2 linked regions of the Struthio camelus genome follow. The protein of the gene in region 1 interacts with the protein of each later gene in a biochemical or structural test. Links are inferred from orthologs where the notes say so. Each region holds a gene or a part of one and is shown on either strand. Other genes may lie near its edges.

What was found.
Region 2: of the proteins of LATS1 (region 1) and MINK1, one has a biochemical effect on the other in vitro, tested with the Homo sapiens proteins (2 studies listed by BioGRID). The link is inferred for Struthio camelus from reciprocal best matches to the Homo sapiens genes LATS1 and MINK1.

Annotation. Positions count from the first base shown.
Region 1 is NC_090944.1:82,014,744-82,023,800, forward strand, and holds the start of LATS1 (serine/threonine-protein kinase LATS1), read left to right. Parts: upstream 1-4,998; 5' UTR 4,999-5,262; intron 5,263-6,869; exon of another isoform or gene 6,870-7,097; intron 7,098-9,057. Other genes in the region: nucleoporin Nup43, read left to right, coding at 1,593-1,715, 2,981-3,195. UniProt on the Homo sapiens protein: Negative regulator of YAP1 in the Hippo signaling pathway that plays a pivotal role in organ size control and tumor suppression by restricting proliferation and promoting apoptosis.
Region 2 is NW_027182728.1:119,859-129,054, forward strand, and holds the start of MINK1 (misshapen-like kinase 1), read right to left. Parts: upstream 3,909-9,196; 5' UTR 3,742-3,908; coding exon 3,685-3,741; intron 1,769-3,684; exon of another isoform or gene 1,768-1,768; coding exon 1,702-1,767; intron 1,514-1,701; coding exon 1,457-1,513; intron 1,378-1,456; exon of another isoform or gene 1,355-1,377; coding exon 1,229-1,354; intron 904-1,228; coding exon 793-903; intron 422-792; coding exon 331-421; intron 1-330. Other genes in the region: PSMB6 (proteasome subunit beta type-6), read right to left, coding at 5,330-5,466, 5,775-5,919, 6,744-6,873, 6,958-7,089, 7,339-7,406, 7,531-7,632. UniProt on the Homo sapiens protein: Serine/threonine kinase which acts as a negative regulator of Ras-related Rap2-mediated signal transduction to control neuronal structure and AMPA receptor trafficking.

The sequences.
Region 1 (9,057 bases):
GTATCTGGATCTTAAGTGCTGGGCAAAATTTAAATACTATAGGAACAGCAGAGTTATCTTTTGTTATAGCTCCTTAATGTGTCTTCATCCAGTTGGGTTTGGTTTATTGTTTGTCTGTTTGTGAGACCGTTGCCGTCCAAAAGCCAATTCTTCTTGTTCTTCTTGAGCTAAAATTAGTAAGCAGTTTAATGAGTCATCAGATGCATTTAATCAGAATGTGTTTTGTTTTTAGAGCATAGATGTGTTAATAGTGTATTAATAGTCTCAGTGCAAAAATTCATGCTGTAGTATTCTGGCATAGTAAAGCAGGAATGCAGCTACTGACAAGCTTGAAAATGTGAGGTTGAGGAAGGAGACTGAAGATAGTACAGTTCCGTTTCATGCCTCCACCATGCTGAAACAGTTCACTTTCCTGGTACCGTTATATGAACAAGAAGGTAGCGACTCTTTCTGTTCTGGCAATTTATTGATTCAATACTAGAGTTATATTTAGGGAGTACATTGTTTCTTGAGATAAGAACTTTTACTGACTTAACTGTTTTGACAATTGTGGTATTTAGACACAAAATGACTGTTCTGGGAAGGAATGCTTGATGTGTGCAAATTTTAAACTTAATAGTAGGGAAGAAAGCATGAGAAAGCTATTGAGAATGTCTGAATTCAGACAAGCTTTTAACTTCTAACAACTCTCACAGTGTTGAAAGTACAGCAAAATGAGTGATCTGCTTTTTCAGGGGAGGGAAGATTGCAGCAAATAACTGATGGTAGTTCCCCCCTACCCCTTAAGAATGCAAGGTTTTGGTGAGGCCTGGATTCTTGTATGATATAGAATGTACTTACTAGCCACAGTGCAGAGCTGGGTATTTGATGTTTGTGAAATGGTTTTTTTCCTCTTCAGAGCCTGAGGTCTAGATTCATTAATCCGTAAAAGTAAGGAAAACCTGTTTCAACTTCCAACAGAAAGCAGTATTCTTCTTTATTAGAAGCTCTTTTCTCTCACTGGAGCTGATTAGTCTGTCTTCCTTCCCTTTTCCTTAGTGTAACTGGAAGGCATTGGCTATGTAGCTTCTTTCTGCATATGGCCAAGAGTGTGGTTTGTTTGTTTTTAAAATACCTGTAGTAGCGTTATTTTACTGTTATATGTGTGATTCCTTTTTACATGTGCATGAATTGCAGTTTTAGATTCTGTACTTTGCAATACCAGGACCTTGGTGGCCTTTGTGAGGCACCTACTGCACTACTTAGCTGGATAAATGAGCGTGTTTGAAATACCAGGAAGTGAGACGATGGCTTTGTATCTTGACAGCTGTCCCCATTGAAAGAAGCCATCCTAGCTGATACTTGAAAAGTTACCTTTATACTGTCATAAATAAACTTCAGTAGTTTCAGTAGCCTGAAGTAGGCTCATAGTTTTATAGTAACTAAACATATTTGCTGTTGGATTGAATAACCTGTGTAATTGAGGTATCAAACCCCTTTTAGTATCACAGCAGTGTAGAAATCACGAGGAGCATGGTTTGCATGCCAATAAGTATGTGTGTTTTATTGTTGTTAGTGTTTGGGTTTTTTTTTCCTTCTCTTGTTACTTCTAGTGTGGGAAGTTCACTTCCATCCCTCCAACCCAGATCACTTATTTACATGTTCTGAAGACGGATCTCTTTGGCACTGGGATACGTCCACAAGCGTTTCTGAAAAACCATCTTTCCTTCATCAAGGTAAGGATGTTTGAAGTCAGCTTGCATTGAATTTGTCATCTGGCAACTTAGGTAAAGCACTTGATCTTATATTCTCTATTACTAACTCAATACAGAAAACAAAAATCCAACTTCTTTTCTTAGACACGGGTAGGCACTCTAGGACAACTAAGTACTTACGGGGATAAGCAGTGTTTTTTATCTATCCTCACTGTGCTCTGTCTAGTGTGTGAAGGGGCGCATAAAGAATTTCAGGGATAAATTTAGTTCACTTAAATCACATCCGTGCGGACCAGACATGAAAGAGGCCTAAATGACACATTGCTACCTGAATCTCAGAGGGAGATATATAAAATTCGGTAACACCAATATAGTTTATAAGTTAACGGGATAGTGGAATTATGAATTTAATCTTTAGGCAGTTTTTCCAAGTCATAAGTGGAAGATTGTCAGTGAGTGAAACTGTATGCCTTTGTGTCATGGTAGGATTTCAAAGACATGAAACTGATGTAAAAATGCCTTTTTGCTTTCTAATCTCAGACTGCTTAATTGCTTGCAACTTCAGAGGGGAAACTCTGAAGTGGGGGAAGTGGAGAACTTTCAAATATCTTCTGCCTCTGGCCTCAAAGCTGCCATTCAAAGTTGAGTTCTGTACAGGGGAATAATAGTATAACTGAGAGTCAAATCGCACTCTGCATGTTCTCAGGTATACTGCATAACCCCTTAAGTGCACCATTTTAAACCATTGTAAGCTTTATACTGGCTGATAGTTCTCAAACTGCAAAACTTCAGTTTGGATTTGAATTTTTTTGTGGAAAAAGCTTGAAGTCAAATCCAGGTATATCACTTTCTCCAGATTAGGTAGAGAGAAGGTACAGTGGGGAGTAAATGTTATTACAGCAAAGCTGATGCCTCAAATATAGCAAGGCCACTGCGTAAGTGGACTTTGGTTCATAGGTCCATTGCTTTAGTCTTCAGCTAGAAAAACTTGTAGTTGCTCATACTATTTGCTCAATGAGATGGGTTCTTAGTTGTACTGACTTATTTGCCCTCTTAACTGAGGAGAGAGCTGGTAGCAGGCTTCTGTAAACATTTGAAGTACTTGGCTTTTAGCTATTTTGTTGTTGTTTACCAGGAAGACTAGTACATCATTTAGCTAATCTGAAAACTGATTTAAATTTAAAATGCTTTTCCCGTTATGTCTCTCCTTTAGTTGCTATGTTTCTCCAAATTCTGAGACTAAACTAAATTGGAACTAATTTTTTTTCCCTTTCCCTCACTTTCAGGAGGAAGAAGTACTACATATTTTTCCCACAATACCGTTAACCAATCTGTAGTAAGTGCCTGGCTAAGCAACGATCCTACCAAAGACCGCATGGAGATTACCAACTTAATTCCACATCAGACTTTGTCTGTGAACAGTTTAGATATTTTAGGACCATGTCTAGTGTATGGTACTGATGCAGAGGCTATTTATGTTAACAGACACCTTTTTGCATGAAACTACTTCAGTGTCACTCTGAATCACCTTGAACTACTGGGAAACGCATCAGGTTCATGAGGGTTTCCAACTAAACTGTTATGAGCATGTGGGAGAGAGGCCTACAGCTTAGTTCTGCTATTGCAAAAGGAATGCAAGTTACCTCAGACTCTTAAAGTTGCCCCTTATTATTCATGCTCTACCATGGGTAATTAAACCAGCTTTTGTGTAAGCTTGATCTCACTTCTTCCCCGTTGCCTGCTTCATTTTGGCAAGCAGGAAGCTAGCTGTAAGTGCAAGATGTTTGTTCTTAGCTGATGTCCATAATGCACAAGGTGAAGAAAAACTAAACCCCTGATTATTCATGTATATGTAGAGACATTCCACATGTTAAGGCCAAATCATAAGGTTCTTTGATGTTCTTTTTATGTCGGCTGAGAGAGACTGCTTTTTATTTGAGATTTTTATATATATATATTTTTTGGAAGCATAGCTTTTTACGCTGGTGCATGAGAACTGGAAAGGAAACCTGTAAAAGCTGTAAAATATGAAAGGTCCTATAAGACTTTTAGCATTTTAGTAGCATTATTTTGGATTACTACAACTTCATCACGGATACAACGTGTTAAAACTCCATCTGGATAATGTGCCTATAACTCTCTCATCAGAAAAGTGTTTTTATAGCTCAGTGGCCATAAGTGATGGACATGTTGGCTGTTTTAAAATATGTGATGGAGACACATCTGTGACAAAGACCATCTGTGACAAAGACCATGACTGACGCTATCAGTTTTCCATCTAGTCTTGTTTTGCAATCTTTGAAAAATTAATTTTAGGATGACTGCTGTACCTACCTTTTGTTGCAGAGAACCCTTTCTCTTTTTAATAAAGTATTTTGCACAAGAGTACTGGCCTGACTTACTAGATTAGTTTAGTAGATGTGCTTTTTAGTTTGTTGTTGCAGGAGGGTAAATAACCCTAAGAGCTCTCTGGACTGGGTTTGAGAATGGGATTTGGCACTTTGAGGGAAATCTTAGGATCTGGGCAGCAGCAGATGGAGTTATAAGGCTTTAAAAATCACTCGTCAGCGAAACAGCTTTAGAGTATTTCACTCTCGAGGCGGTGAGAAGAGTGTTCTTCATCTTTTCTCACAATGACTTGCCTGATTTGAATTTCCTGTGTGTCTAGCTGAAGAACGTGGGTTGTACCTTAGTTAAGGGGTATTCTTCAGAAAAGAACTTGAGTTGCTAGGAGGCTTACTAGTTTTAAATTTTAGTTTTTAAATTTCCCTATTTGTTTGAAATGGGACACTTTGCTTGAGTAGGGAAGTGATCATTCTTCTTGGGGAACTTATAGATGGGGGTCTGTAAGAAGTCTTTTATTCAGTCGTGTCGGCGATCTTTCCCCTTGGAAAACCGAAGTTTATTGATCAGCATGCTCGCAGCCGTGGTGAGCATCTATTGCAGTCGATAATACCATGCGAGCTCAGCTGTGGTGATTAACCGGGTTTTGAGCTCAGCTTCACTAGACTCCTAGCGCTTGACGAGGCTCCAGGTTGACGAGGTTTTTGTGCCATTAAAAGGAGGAGAGGAAAAAAAAAAAAAAAGCGATGCCTGAAACCTCTTTCCCCCTTGCGGGGGGCTCCGTGTGGAGCAGCTCCCGTTACCGCTACAAGGTAGTGGCGCCGGGCGGGGGAGGGGGCAAACGGCCGTTTACCATGGCGGGGGGGGGGGGGGGGGGACGCACCGCCCTGCCCGCGTGGGGCGCTCGCGGCTGGGCCGCGCCGGCCGCTGCATTCCATACCGGGTTGGGGGGGGGGGGGGCGCAAAGGAGGCTGGGAGCTGCCTATATCCGGGAAACCTTCCGCGGCGGAGGCACCGACAAAATGGCGGCGCCGAACTGAGGGACCCGTGGCGGCGGTGGCGGGAGGGGGGGGCGCTGGCGGAGCGACCGAGGAGCCGCTGCCGGCGGCGTTGAGGGCCGCGGAGGTCGTTGCCGTCGTCGCAGGGGCGTGGCCGAGCGCCCTACGCACACGCCCGGGCCCGGGGCGCTGCTGCTGCTACCGCCGCCGCTGCCTTTTCGCTGCAGGTAGGTCCGGCGTGCCGCGGCGGCGAGGAGAGGGCGCTGGCGGGGCTCGAGAGCGGCTCGGCCAGGGCGTGGGGGCCATAACGGGCCCTTCCCGGGCCCCTCCTGCCGCGGCGGCGGCGGCGGCGGCGGCGGAGCGGCAGAGCCCGGGCCCCTTGCTCCCTGCCGGCAGCGAGCGGGACGCGGCCGGAGGTAGGCGGCGTTGCCTCCCGCCGCCCGGGCCGGGGGTTGTGCGTCTGAAAGCGGCTTCGCGGTCACCGAGGAGCGGCTCCTCCGCGGAGGCGAGGCGGTGTCCGCGCCGCCCGGGCCCCGCGGCTGCGGCTGGGGTGGTGGTGGTGGCGGCGGCGGGCCGGCGGCCGCCGGTTGGGCCGCGGTGCCGCCGCCTCACGAGGGTTTCGCCGCTGCAGTGGTGGTGCTTGATGGTGTTAGTTCCCCCTTATCTCCCCCGGGGAACGCTGAAGGTTCGGAGGAAAGCCGCACTTCAGCAGACCGGATTCAAACGTTTCTTCCAGATGGACGTATACGGTAGCACGTGCATCTCTGCTTTACCTCGGGTCGTGGTCTCGTACTTGCTGTGCAACAAAAATGCAATTAACACAGTGGATAGACTTGAGATACTCATGACTGTTATATCCTGAAAATTCTCACGCCAGTGTTGTACTTCTACTCTGGGTGGTCCTTGACATGTTGGATCCTTCTGTGCTATTAGAATTACCTTAGTACCTGTCTGTGCCAACGCTACTTACGCTTTGGTTTTAAATGGCTGCCCTGTCGGTAGCAATGAAGATTACTCTTACGTGCTCAAGAAATAAGCAATAATAAGAACTGAGAATGCGTTTGTACATAAGAGCTATATCCTATTAAAAGGAGATAGCAGAGTACGAGAATGGAAAGGAGCAGCAGAAGCAAGCGTACAGCGCTCCTTGTGTTCAGCTAGCCTCCAGTCACTTTCAACTCAGAGTCTTCCTTGAATGTATGTAGTCATAATTATTTACAAATTTTCCGTGCCCGGTTTTCTGCTCATCCTATGTAAATTTTTAGTGCTGAAAACATCGTTTGACAAAAGAGCTTTTCAGCCCAACCACCTGTTACCCAAAGAACTGCTTCCTTTGATTCAAGCCAAGCCCCTACAAAGTTAATCTGATGCCTCCCAAGTTCTTGTTTTAAATCTTTTCTAAAAAGAAAGAGTTGATTGAGATCCTGTGTAAGCTAAGTTAATAGAATAGGGATATGGGAGAGGAAATCAAAATAGATTGTTTTTACTTTCAGCTGAATATTGAGCACTGTGTAGTATTTAAATGTATGTTCAAAATTTTTTAATATTAAATGTTACAAAGCTACTAAAAAGCTGTATATTTTCCTTCCCAGAAATGCTTAAAAGGCATTGACAGAGCAGTTGCGTGTTACTGTCGCCTTCTGAAACCGTTAAGTGTTTTCATTCAAACGCCTATTTTTTATTGTCCAGTCTTTTGTGGTACACTCTAAACAGACTGTTTTTTTTCTCCTTACAGTTTGACCTGTAGAAGAAAATAGTTTATCCTTATGTTTTGAAAAGGAAGAAAAAATGATTTAACTGCTTTAGGGAAATGGAGAATGTCACCAGTGGAAGTATTTGCATTAACAAACAGATGCATCAAGGGCATTTAACCATACAGAACTGCAAGGGAGAATACACGGCCGTTCCCTCAGGTTCAGTTAGTGTTTGCTAGTTAGATATACATGATTGAGAAAGGTTACTTACTGATCTGGTCAAAACTTTATTGTTTTAAAATGTGTGTAAATGTCTGTAAGAGGAGATGACTTCACGGTCCCTGAATTTTGAAGTCCTCCAAAGCAAGGTGAGCTATGGTCAATAATACTTGCCGCTTTGTACTTCATTACAGTGGAGGACTGTTTTAATTGGGTTTCTGAGCAATTAAGACTGTAGTTTCACAGACCCATGAAATTGTTAGCCAATACTGCTGCTGAAAGAAATAAACCCCTAGGAAAAAAAATTACTTTTTATCTGGATAGGTTCCCTGGCTTGATTCACTCTATGTGGCCTTACAAACTACTTAATGCTGGCACGGAATAAGTGGACTGGCTGTTTTACACTGGTATAAACCCCTGCTTCTGCTAAAAACTTATGTGAAAGGATGACTTTATTTTCTAAGGCTGGTCAGTCCATATACTGTATGCTGCAGTTGCCAACCAAATAATAGTTACCACATACTTAAAACATCCCTTGTATTAAAATTCTCAAAGCATTTTAAAAAGAAATATAATTATCTCTTTTTTTTTTTTTTTTTTTTACATAAAGAAGTCAGTGTACAAGGTGATTTTTTTTTTTTTTCCCCCCTAGGCCATATGATTGAATTGGTGGTAGACTCTAGGTCTCCTGATTTACAGATTAAGTATCATCTTAATTTGACCTGGAGTTCTCCTGTGGGTGTTATATTTGTTTATCTCAGCTACCTGCAGGGTGATTGTAAAGTGAATTTGGTGAAACACCAAATAAAATTATGGTTAAAACATATAGGTGAAAAACAAGTGTTTTCTCTTGGATTAAAGTCCTGTGGAAAGTGTTAAGAGAAAGAACTTACATATGGACATTTTTTTTACTACTCTCATTTGATACTTGTCTGACACAGGATGGATACTAACTATTTTATCTAGATTACCTGCCAGTGGTGAGCTAGTGATTAGTCCTAATTTTGACTGAATTTGAACAAGTAATCTAAATCACTAAGCCTCTAAGCTATTCAGCCTTATTGTTATGTGCTGTGGGGTGAACTTATGATAATGTTTTGCTTCTCTGGGGGTGGTAATTCTTTTCAGTGTTATTAGTATGTATACTCACACACTTTTGTGTACTCAACACATGTGTTTTTCAAAACAGATGCCTTGAAAAGAAAGGAAACTTCCCTAGCAAAGCTAAATTCCAGTGAAATGTTCTAAACAAAGCTTTCTTTCCTCCCTTTTCTTTGGGGAAAAATGTTTTTAACCAAATATTGTCCATGTTGTTTTAAATTTTGCATGTGTTTAAGTGCTCTTGAAAGTGGCCAGGGTTAAATTACATTTTAATTTATCTCATGGCATGCTTTCTGCAGCGTCTAGACTAGTTACTCCTTTGAGCAAAACTCCACTGCTTATTACTAAATCTCACTTAGGTGCCTGATGGTCTTTTCCTTAGTCAGTGAACATTAAAGAAATGTGTTACTGGACAGCAGAAAAAGTTCTAATATCACTATAAAATGACATTCTTTTAAAGTTTCAGGCTTACCACAGGTCAAAGAAAGCTTGTGGGTGCAGTCCCAGCACTTGAGATTTAGGGAATTCCATTAGAGAAACTGAATTATTTCTTAAGTGATTGGCCAAGGAGAAGGGGGTTAGGTTGCTATACCTTGTGTTCCTTTTTCTCCCTCCTTATTTATGTACTGTCCTTCTAAGCGCTCAAGTTTCACTCATTTATGGGTAGCGTGTTTATTTTATTCATATAATTTGCATGTGGATTAGAGGGTTCTTTTTCCTATTAACTTTTTGTCATATTCTTCCTCAATCACTGAATCAGTAGTAGGTTTATGACACTGCAAATATCATAAAAGTGAAACTTGGATGGAGGGATAGTGGCTTTTCTGTAGACTGTTAAAAGCTTTTTAGGCGCCTGTTCAATTCAGACGTCCAATATGAGAAACACCGTTGTCTACACACTACCTCTTTAAGAGAGAAGTGGTGCTTATAAACATCCAAGTCCTCAAAAAGACTCTTTCAGAAAACCAGGAATGCAAAATTTTAACACTTCTAGAAACAGAAACAAGA
Region 2 (9,196 bases), on another chromosome or scaffold:
GGAAGGCTGTGTTAGCAGCACTGGGAGCCCTATCCAGGAGAGCATACTGGGAGTGCTAGAAACTCAAACTGGGAGCCCATGCTGGTAGTCCATACTGGGAACACTGGGAGCTGCAATGGGAGCATTAGGGGCCTACCCTGGGAGCCCATACTAGGGGCACTAGGAGCCCAAATTGGGAGTGCTGGAAACCCAAACTGGGATCACCAGGAGCCTGCGCTGGAAGCCATACTGGGATCACTGGGAGCCCGTACTGGTAGCTCGCACAGGAAGTGCTGGCTGGCCATACTTGGAGCGCTGGGAGCACTGGGAGACCATACTGGGAGCACCTACCCAGCTTGACTTCGGCGTTCTCAGTGAGCAGCACGTTCTGGCCCTTGATGTCACGGTGAATCACCTTGTGCGCGTGGAGGTGGGCCAGGCCCTGCACACGCCACACACACGCGTGAGACGGATGCATGCCACACACATGGCACACGCCAGGCCCGGCACACGCCACGCACACGCGTGAGATGGGCACATATCATGCACACAGCACACACCAGGCCCTGCACACACCACGCACACGTGTAAGACGGGCGCATGCCATGCACATGGCACGCATCAGGTCCTGAATACACCACGCGCACGTGTGAGGCAGGCACACACCATACACACGGCACATACCAGGCCCTGCACACACCACACGCAAGTGCAAAGCGAGCACACGCACACGGCCCACACGCAGCATGTGCCAGGCCCTGCACACACCATATGTATGGGATGTGCAGGACGCGGCACACGCGTGACACTCACCCGCAGGATCTCGCGGCACACGTATGCGATGCAGTCCTCCTTCAGCGCGTTGCCCTTCGTGTTCTTCACCAGGTCCGTGACAGATCCGGCACCGCAGAACTCCATCACCAGCTGGGGGCGGGGGGTTAGCGCTGCCCCCCTGATCCACTCCTGGCCCCCTGGATCCTCCTCAGCTCCATGGATTGCCCTGATGCCCCTTCTCCTCCATGGATCCCTCCTTGATCCCTCTTGGATCCTCCCCAGACCCACAAATTCCTCCCAGGTCCCCCCTGGATCCCCCCTGGACCTCCAGATCCCCCCCAAAGCCCTAGACTGCCCCCAGATCCCCCCCAGACCCCCAAATCTGCCCTAATCCACCCTCAGCCCCCCCCACATCCTTCCCAGATCGCTCCGGGATCCCCTCTCGGATTCCCCCCCCGGATCCGGTGGGACTCACCCAGAGCTGGTCATCATTGCCGGGGGGGCTCTTCTTGACGAAGGCCCCGTAGTAGGTGGCGATGTTGCGGTGGTGCGAATACTTCTTCAGCATGTTGATCTCCTGCTTGATCTCCTCTTCCTCGTCCTAGCCGCAGGGGCAGAAAAGCACTAGGGTCACGTGTGTGTCCCCCACCCCACATCACACATGTCCCTCCAGCATCACGTGTGTCCCCCCCACCCCGCTCACCTCTGTCACATCCATGACCTTGATGGCAGCCAGCTGCCCCGTCTTCACGTGCCGGCCCTGGGGGACGCGGAGGGGGCGTGAGGAGGGGACCCCGGCGTCCAGGTGCCGCACAGCGTCCCCCCCTCCTGCCCTTAGGACTGGAGCAGGGGCCCAGGCGACCGGGCTGTCCTACTTGGACCATCCCAGCATGTTGCGTGTGCGGGGGGGAGCACGCGCAGGCGTGACACGCGTCCGCAATGCCTCACCTTATAGACCTGCCCATATGTCCCGTTGCCGACGACTTCCACCAGCTCAAAGATGCCGGCAGGATCCTGGAGGGGGACATGAGGGTGACGGAGGGGATCTGGGGGGAGCCCGAGCATCCAGCCCCCCCCCCGCTCCAGCAAGTATAAATAACCCACCGAAACGCGGTCAGCACGTCCTGCTGTCCCAGGCGCCCGCTGGGAGCTGCCAAGCGGGTTACAGCGCCCCGGCGCATCAAGGACGGCTGGGAAGCAGGGCAGGGCGCAGGGGAGCGCCCGCCCGTGCCCCCATGAGACCAAACCCGCCCTTTTCAGCCCCAAAATGCCTGCCTGCCTGCCTGCGCCTAGGCCCTGGACATGGAGTCAGGTGCCGCCGCGGGGGTAAATCCTGCAAATTCGGGATCACGAGGCGCCGCTTCATGGGTAATCGCCTTGCCTGCTAATCTCCTCCTGTAAGGCTTTCTTCCCTTCCCCCTCCCCCCCCCCGCCAACACGTGGTTTTTGGGCCCAAACGTAGCAAGTTTGGGCAAATCGGCTGCTCAGGGCGCCTTTTGGCGCCCTGCACAGGGGAACGGCGCCACGGCCGCTCTGATTTCTGCTGACGGAAGCGGGGCTCGGCACAGCCCCAGCCCGATGGGACGGGATGCCGTGGCAGCTCCTGTCGAAATTATAAATAATAAACGAGCGTCGCAGAAATGAGGGAGCCCCAGAGCTGAGTGGGAGCGGGGTGATCCTTGGTGGGGAGCGGGACCTCCCCAGCACGTGACCCATTTCTAGCCTGGGTCAAGGGTAGAGCCCCCCCTTCACCCTGGGGGCCCCCTCGGGCAAAGCCCCCCCCTTATCCCAGCTCGGGGGGAGGCTGGTGCTTTCCCAGGGGGGCTCCCCCTGCCCCCCGGTGGGTTGGGGGGTGCTGCGGGGGGGGGTAGCCCCCAGGTCCCAGCCATGGGGGTGGTTGAGGAGGCCCTGCAAGGTGGGAGCATGGTGGGGGGCTCTGGGGGGCCTGAGGAGGAATGAAGCCTCTAACCAGCCCAAGAGGACTACTGGGGGGCACTGGGGGATACTGGGGGGGGCTGTCTCCAGAGGGCAGCAAGTCTTTCTAATTAACCAGTAAAAGGCTAAGGGGCACTGGGGGTACTGGGGGCACTGGGGGAGGCCGGGGGGCTCTCCAGAGGGCAGCAGGTCTTTCTGGCTCGCCAGTGAGAGGCCGGCGGGTACTGGGGGGCACTGGGGGATACTGGGGGCACTGGGGGAGGCCGGGGGGCTCTCCAGAGGGCAGCAGGTCTTTCTGGCTCGCCAGTGAGAGGCCGGCAGGTACTGGGGGGCACTGGGGGATACTGGGGGCACTGGGGGAGGCCGGGGAGCTCTCCAGAGGGCAGCAGGTCTTTCTGGCTCGCCAGTGAGAGGCCGGCGGGTACTGGGGGGCACTGGGGGATACTGGGGAGTGCTGGGAGAGGCCGGGGGGCTCTCCAGAGGGCAGCAGGTCTTTCTGGCTCGCCAGTGAGAGGCCGGCGGGTACTGGGGGGCACTGGGGGATACTGGGGGAGGCCGGGGGGCTCTCCAGAGGGCAGCAGGTCTTTCTGGCTCGCCAGTGAGAGGCCGGCGGGAACTGGGGGGCACTGGGGGATACTGGGGGCACTGGGGGAGGCCGGGGGGCTCTCCAGAGGGCAGCAGGTCTTTCTGGCTCGCCAGTGAGAGGCCGGCGGGAACTGGGGGGCACTGGGGGATACTGGGGGCACTGGGGGAGGCCGGGGGGCTCTCCAGAGGGCAGCAGGTCTTTCTGGCTCGCCAGTGAGAGGCCGGCGGGAACTGGGGGGCACTGGGGGATACTGGGGGCACTGGGGGAGGCCGGGGAGTCTCCCAGGGTGAAAGCCCACCAACCCCGGTAAGGGGGGGGGCCCTGTGGTGACCTTTGCCCCCCCGTTCCCGCGCCCCCACGCCCTTTGACCCCGGCCGCCCTCCCACCCGCCGCCCTTTGACCCCGCTCACCCGGAGGGAGGAAAGGTCGATGTCGTCGAGGCTGCGGGCGGGGGCGGGGTCCGCCATGGCGGCGGGGGCAGGAGGGAGGAAAGGGGAAGAAGGGGCGGGGGGGAGAGCCGGGGCGGGGGGTCAGCGGGGCCCCATGGGGACGGGACGGGACGGGACGGGACCGGGCGGCCCCGCTCCGGCCGCGGCTCCGCCACCGACTGACAGCGCCCGCGCCGCCACCCAGCGCACTGCGCAGGCGCGCGGGGGGAGGCGGCGCAGCGCGCAGGCGCGCCGGAGGGGCGGGGCGGTGCCGCGCAGGCGCGTTGCGAAGTGGGGGGGAGGCGCGCGCCTGCCCGAGGCGCGAGGGCGCGGCCGGTCCCGCCCTTTCCACCCTCCTCCGCCGCGTGTGGAGACGGTGACATCACGGGGGAGCGGCTGAGAGGATGGGGGAGGGGCGGGGAAGGGACCCCGGCGTCCGGGACAGGGGACCCCGAGGTCCGGGGGTCGGTGGTGAGGGGCCCCCCCGTTCCTGAGGGGAAAAGGGGCAGGAAAGGGACCCCGGCGTCCGGGACAGGGGACCCCGAGGTCCGGGGGGTCAGTGGTGAGGGGCCCCCCCGTTCCTGAGGGGAAAAGGGGCAGGAAAGGGACCCCGAGGTCCGGGGGTCGGTGGTGAGGGGCCCCCCCGTTCCTGAGGGGAAAAGGGGCGGGAAAGGGACCCCGGTGTCCGGGACAGGGGACCCCAAGGTCCGGGGAGTCGGTGGTGAGGGGCCCCCCCGTTCCTGAGGGGAAAAGGGGCAGGAAAGGGACCCCGGTGTCCGGGACAGGGGACCCCAAGGTCCGGGGAGTCGGTGGTGAGGGGCCCCCCCCGTTCCTGAGGGGAAAAGGGGCAGGAAAGGGACCCCGGCGTCCGGGACAGGGGACCCCAAGGTCCGGGGAGTCGGTGGTGAGGGGCCCCCCCGTTCCTGAGGGGAAAAGGGGCAGGAAAGGGACCCCGGCGTCCGGGACAGGGGACCCCAAGGTCCGGGGAGTCGGTGGTGAGGGGCCCCCCCGTTCCTGAGGGGAAAAGGGGCAGGAAAGGGACCCCGGCGTCCGGGACAAGATGGTGAAGGAGAACCCCCAAGTCTGGGAGGGCAGGGGGGCTCTGAGGGCCTGGGGGGTGGTGAAGGGGAACCCCCGTACCTGAGAGGGGAGGGCAGGGGGACCCAGGTATCTGGGGGGTGAAGGGGCACCCCAATTCCTGAAGAGGGGAAAGGCTTAGGGGGGACCCAGGTTGGGGAGAGGGAAGGGGCACCCCCATATTAGGGAGGAAAAAGGGGACAGAGGGCATCTGTGGGAGAGAACTAAGACACTGAAGGGGAACCCCAATATCTGGTGGGAAGGAAGCAGCACAAGGACCAAGGTGGCCGGAGTGCGACAGGGGACCCCATCAAGGGGAGGAAAGGGCAGGGAGGCCCCAAAACTTAGAGGACACTGGTGACCAAAGGGAAGGGGTGCCGCTTAGGGGACCCAGGAGCCCGGGACGGGGTCCCGGCGTGGCGCACAGAGCAGAGGCAGGGTGCGTGGGTGTCGTTTATTGCCCTGCTCAGCAGCACCACCGTCAAGCTGGGGCTATTTATTGCCCCCCCGCTTCCCGCCCTTCTCCCACACTGGACCGTTAACTGTCCCCTCAGGCCGGGGGGCCCCCGTCGCCCCCAGGCAGGTCGGGGCCGGCCAGGACGCGGCGCTCGACCCCCCGCTCCGTCACTGCCGCCAGCCGGATCACGCCACCGCTCGAGCCGTCCCGTGCCATGGCCAGTGCCAGCGCTGCAGCAAGAAGATGGTGGGTAAGGCTTGGACTCTGCCTTAAGGTCGCTGCCCTGCTCCCCTACAACCTGCCCGGACTCCTGGGTCGCTGCCCTGCTTCCCTCCCTTCCATAAACCTGCCTGCTGCTTCCTACATCCCCCCACAGCTTCCCCGGATGCCTGGGTCCCCTTGTCCCCATTCCCCCGCTGCCCATCCTGTCACCCACCCGCTGGACGCCTGGGGCCCCATGTCTTCGTCCTCCCCATCCATCCCATTCCCCCCTCCTGGGTCCCCCCCACCCATCCATCCTGGACGCCTGGGCCCCCACCGCGGGCAGCAAAGTCCTCGCACTCGGCCTGGCTCATGCCGGGACGGAAGGAGGCGTCGACGAAGCCGTAGACGTAGGAGCTGCCGGAGCCACCCACGGAGAAGGGCTGGCGGACGAGGAGCCCCCCCATGGGCACTGCGTACACCTGGGGAGCACACGGGGGTCAGGGAGGGTGGGGGGGGGCACCACGGGCACCTGAGGTGCACACGGGGGTCAGGGAGGCTGTGGGGGGGCACCACGGGTAGCTGGGGGGGCACACAGGGGTCGAGGGGGCTGTGGGGGGCACTGCAGGCACCTGGGGGGTGCACGGAGGTCAGGGGGGCTGTGGGGGGACACCACGGGCAGCTGGGGGGGGACACTGGGGGCAGGGAGCCATAGGGGGGCACTGCAGGCACCTTGGGGGGAGCATGGGGGTCAGGGGGCTGTGGGGGGGGCACTGCAGGCACCTGGGGGTCACATGGGGGTCAGGGGGGCCATGGGGGGGCACCACAGGCACCTGGGGAGGGACACTGGGGGCAGGGGGACCATGGCGGGGCATTGTGGGTACCTAGGAGGGGCAAAGGGGGCACCTGGGGGGTGATGGGGGGCAGGGGGACCAGGGGGCGATATGGGGGCATGCAGAGGGCTCAGGGGGGCGATGTGGGGGGTGGAGGGGCCAGGAAGACAGTGTGGGGGCACCTGGGGGTCAGGGGAGCTGTGTGGGGGGCAGGGAAACACCACACATGCATGGGTGCAGGGGTGGGGGGGAATATGGGGGGCTAGAGGCATCGTGGGGGGCAGCAGGGTCTCAGTGGGCTGGGAGGTGCCTGTGGGGCAAGGGACACGTGGGGGGGGGAGGGGACGCCTGCCTGTGGTGACCCCGATCCCAGCAGGCCCCGGGGACGCCGCGAGGGATGGAGGGCTGGTGCGGGGCAGCCACCGTGACTGTGGGGCGCGGGGGGGCCGTGGGGCTGCGGCCGTGGGGCTCACCTGCCCGCCGCGGCGGCGGTCCCAGCCGGCGACGATGATGCCGGCGGTGAGCTCCTCGCGGTAGCGGTAGCAGGTCTGCTGGAAGAGGCTGGCGGCCGTGTGCACCAGGGGCGGCTCGTCCAGCTCGATGCTGGGGGGCACCGGGGGTCAGACCCGCAGCGGGGACCCCCCGCGCCCCACGGCATCGCCCCGCCCCACGGCGTCGCCCCCACACCTGTGGAAGGCCAGCTGGTAGGCCACGGCATCGGCCACGGCCTGGGTGTCGGCGGCGGAGCCCGAGCGGCAGCAGAAGATGCGGTCGTGGATCGGCGTCAGCTTGTCCGTCACCCGGTTGGCGATGTAGGACCTGCAGCCCCAGCGGCGCCACGGTGACACCGCCGTGGCGACCACCCCAGCAACGGTGAGGACCCTGGAGACAGCTGCCCCCCCCCGTGACAGCTCCAAGGCTGGGGACACCTAGCGATGACCCTGCTGTCGGGGTTCCCCTGGTGACTATCCCGGGCAACCTGGAGCACCAGCAGCGCCCCGGTGACCGGGGGGCCCCAGCAGCGCCCGGCCGCCCGGAGCCCCCAGCAGCGCCCGGAGCCGCGCTCACCCCGTGGTGGTCCGCGAGTCGGCCCCGATGACGACGCCTCCGTCGAACTCCACGGCCATGATGGTGGTCTGCGGGGCGGCAGGGTCAGGCCCCGCCGCGGGGCTGCCCCCAGCCCCGCTGCCCCAGCCCGCCGCGCCCCATGGCGCCCCATGGCGCCCCCTCCTGCCCCGCAGCCCCTCCGGCCCCGCTCACGCCGGTGCTGACGGCCTCCGCGGTCCAGTCCCGGTGCAGAGCCGCGGGCCCCGGCCCGGCCCAGGGCCCCATCGCGCCCGCCTGCACCGTCACCGCCGCCATCTTCCCGTCGCGCTTGGCGACGCGGCCGTGCCACGCGCTTTCGCGACATCCCGGCCGGCCCCGCTGGGCGCCCTCTCCGCGCGCTGCTTTACGGCAGAGTGGCACCGCGCTTTCGCGACGTCGCTGCCGGCCGCTCTTGGCCGCAGTGTGGCAGCCGGCCAAGCCCCTCTTCAAGAGTTTCTGACGTCATCACTGCAGCGTGTGACCTCCCGTGAAAAGCTCGGGAGCAGTACCTAGTGTTGCACACCAGGGCGGGTGCTATGGCGTCACCATAATCCATCACAATGATGTCATGAGGTTTAGGAAGCAGCAGCAGTACTGCGTATGACATCGCTGCAGCATGTGACATCATCGCATCACCCTGGTGACTCCCAGCCCCAACCCTGCGCTCCCAAATCACCTCTGTTGTGCAGTGTGACATCACCCAACATGGACAGCGCAGCAACTGTGATGTCATCACCACCAGTGACATAACCCCAGCACCAGGGCAGGCCCCGCCTCCATGGCTCCTCCCACACAAAGGGGTGGAGACACAGCTGTCAATCAAGTGCTTTATTGCCCCAGCTCCTGCCTGGGTTGTTGGGGGGGGGGGGGGGGTCTCAATTATGGGGGGGGTCCCGGACACCTGGGTTCCTGGGGACCGGGGGAACACCCGGACACCTGGGTCCCTGGGGGGAGGGTCCCCCGGACGCCTGGGTTCCTTGGTCCGGACGAGGGTGGCTCAGGTCGGGGGGGGCCGCAGGCAAGGGGGCTGCGACCCCCCCCACCCCCCAGCTCTGGGGCCTCACGGTGGCTCTGGAGGGGGGAAGGGGCAGAGATGAGTGGGGTTTCCCCAGGGGCCCAGGCGTCCAGGTGCGTCCCCCTGTGGGGATCTAGTCATCTGGGAGCCCCCCCCACCTGCCGGGGCCCAGGCATCCAGCACTCACAGGGGGCGTGGGGCGGCGGAAGACGGTGGTGAGGGCGGCGGGGCGCCGCGTGGGGCGCAAGGCTGGGGGCGCCCGCAGCTCGGCCAGCAGCTGCTGCCCCCAGGGCGATGGGCGGCACATGTGGAAACAGGGGGGGTCCGGGGGGGCGTCAGGGGCTGCCAGTGCCCCATGACCCCCCCGAACCCCAAAGCCCCATGGAACTCCCCCACCCCCCAACAGCCTCCTAGGCCCCTCCAGGCCCCCACTAACCACCTCTGATCCCCAATAACCACCCAGGACCCTCCCAGGCACCCCAAGACCCCCTCTAGACCCCCAATGCCCCCTAGGACCCTCCCAGGCACCCCAAGACCCCCTCTAGACCCCCCAGTGCCCCCTAGGACTCCCCCGAGCACCCTCTCTAGCCTCCAATGCCCCCTAGGCCCCCCCCCCGGGCACCCCAAGACTCCTCTAGCCCCTCAATGCTTCCCTAGGACCCTCTCCAGCCCCCCCAACCCTCCTGAGCACCCCAATATACCCCAGGGGACTCTGGCTCCCCCTGAGCCCCCTAAGATTGCGTAGACCCCCCATGAGCACCCTTACATCCCCCAAGGACCCCAAGTCCCCCTCAGGAACCCCTAGGAGCCCCCCTGATCCCCCCA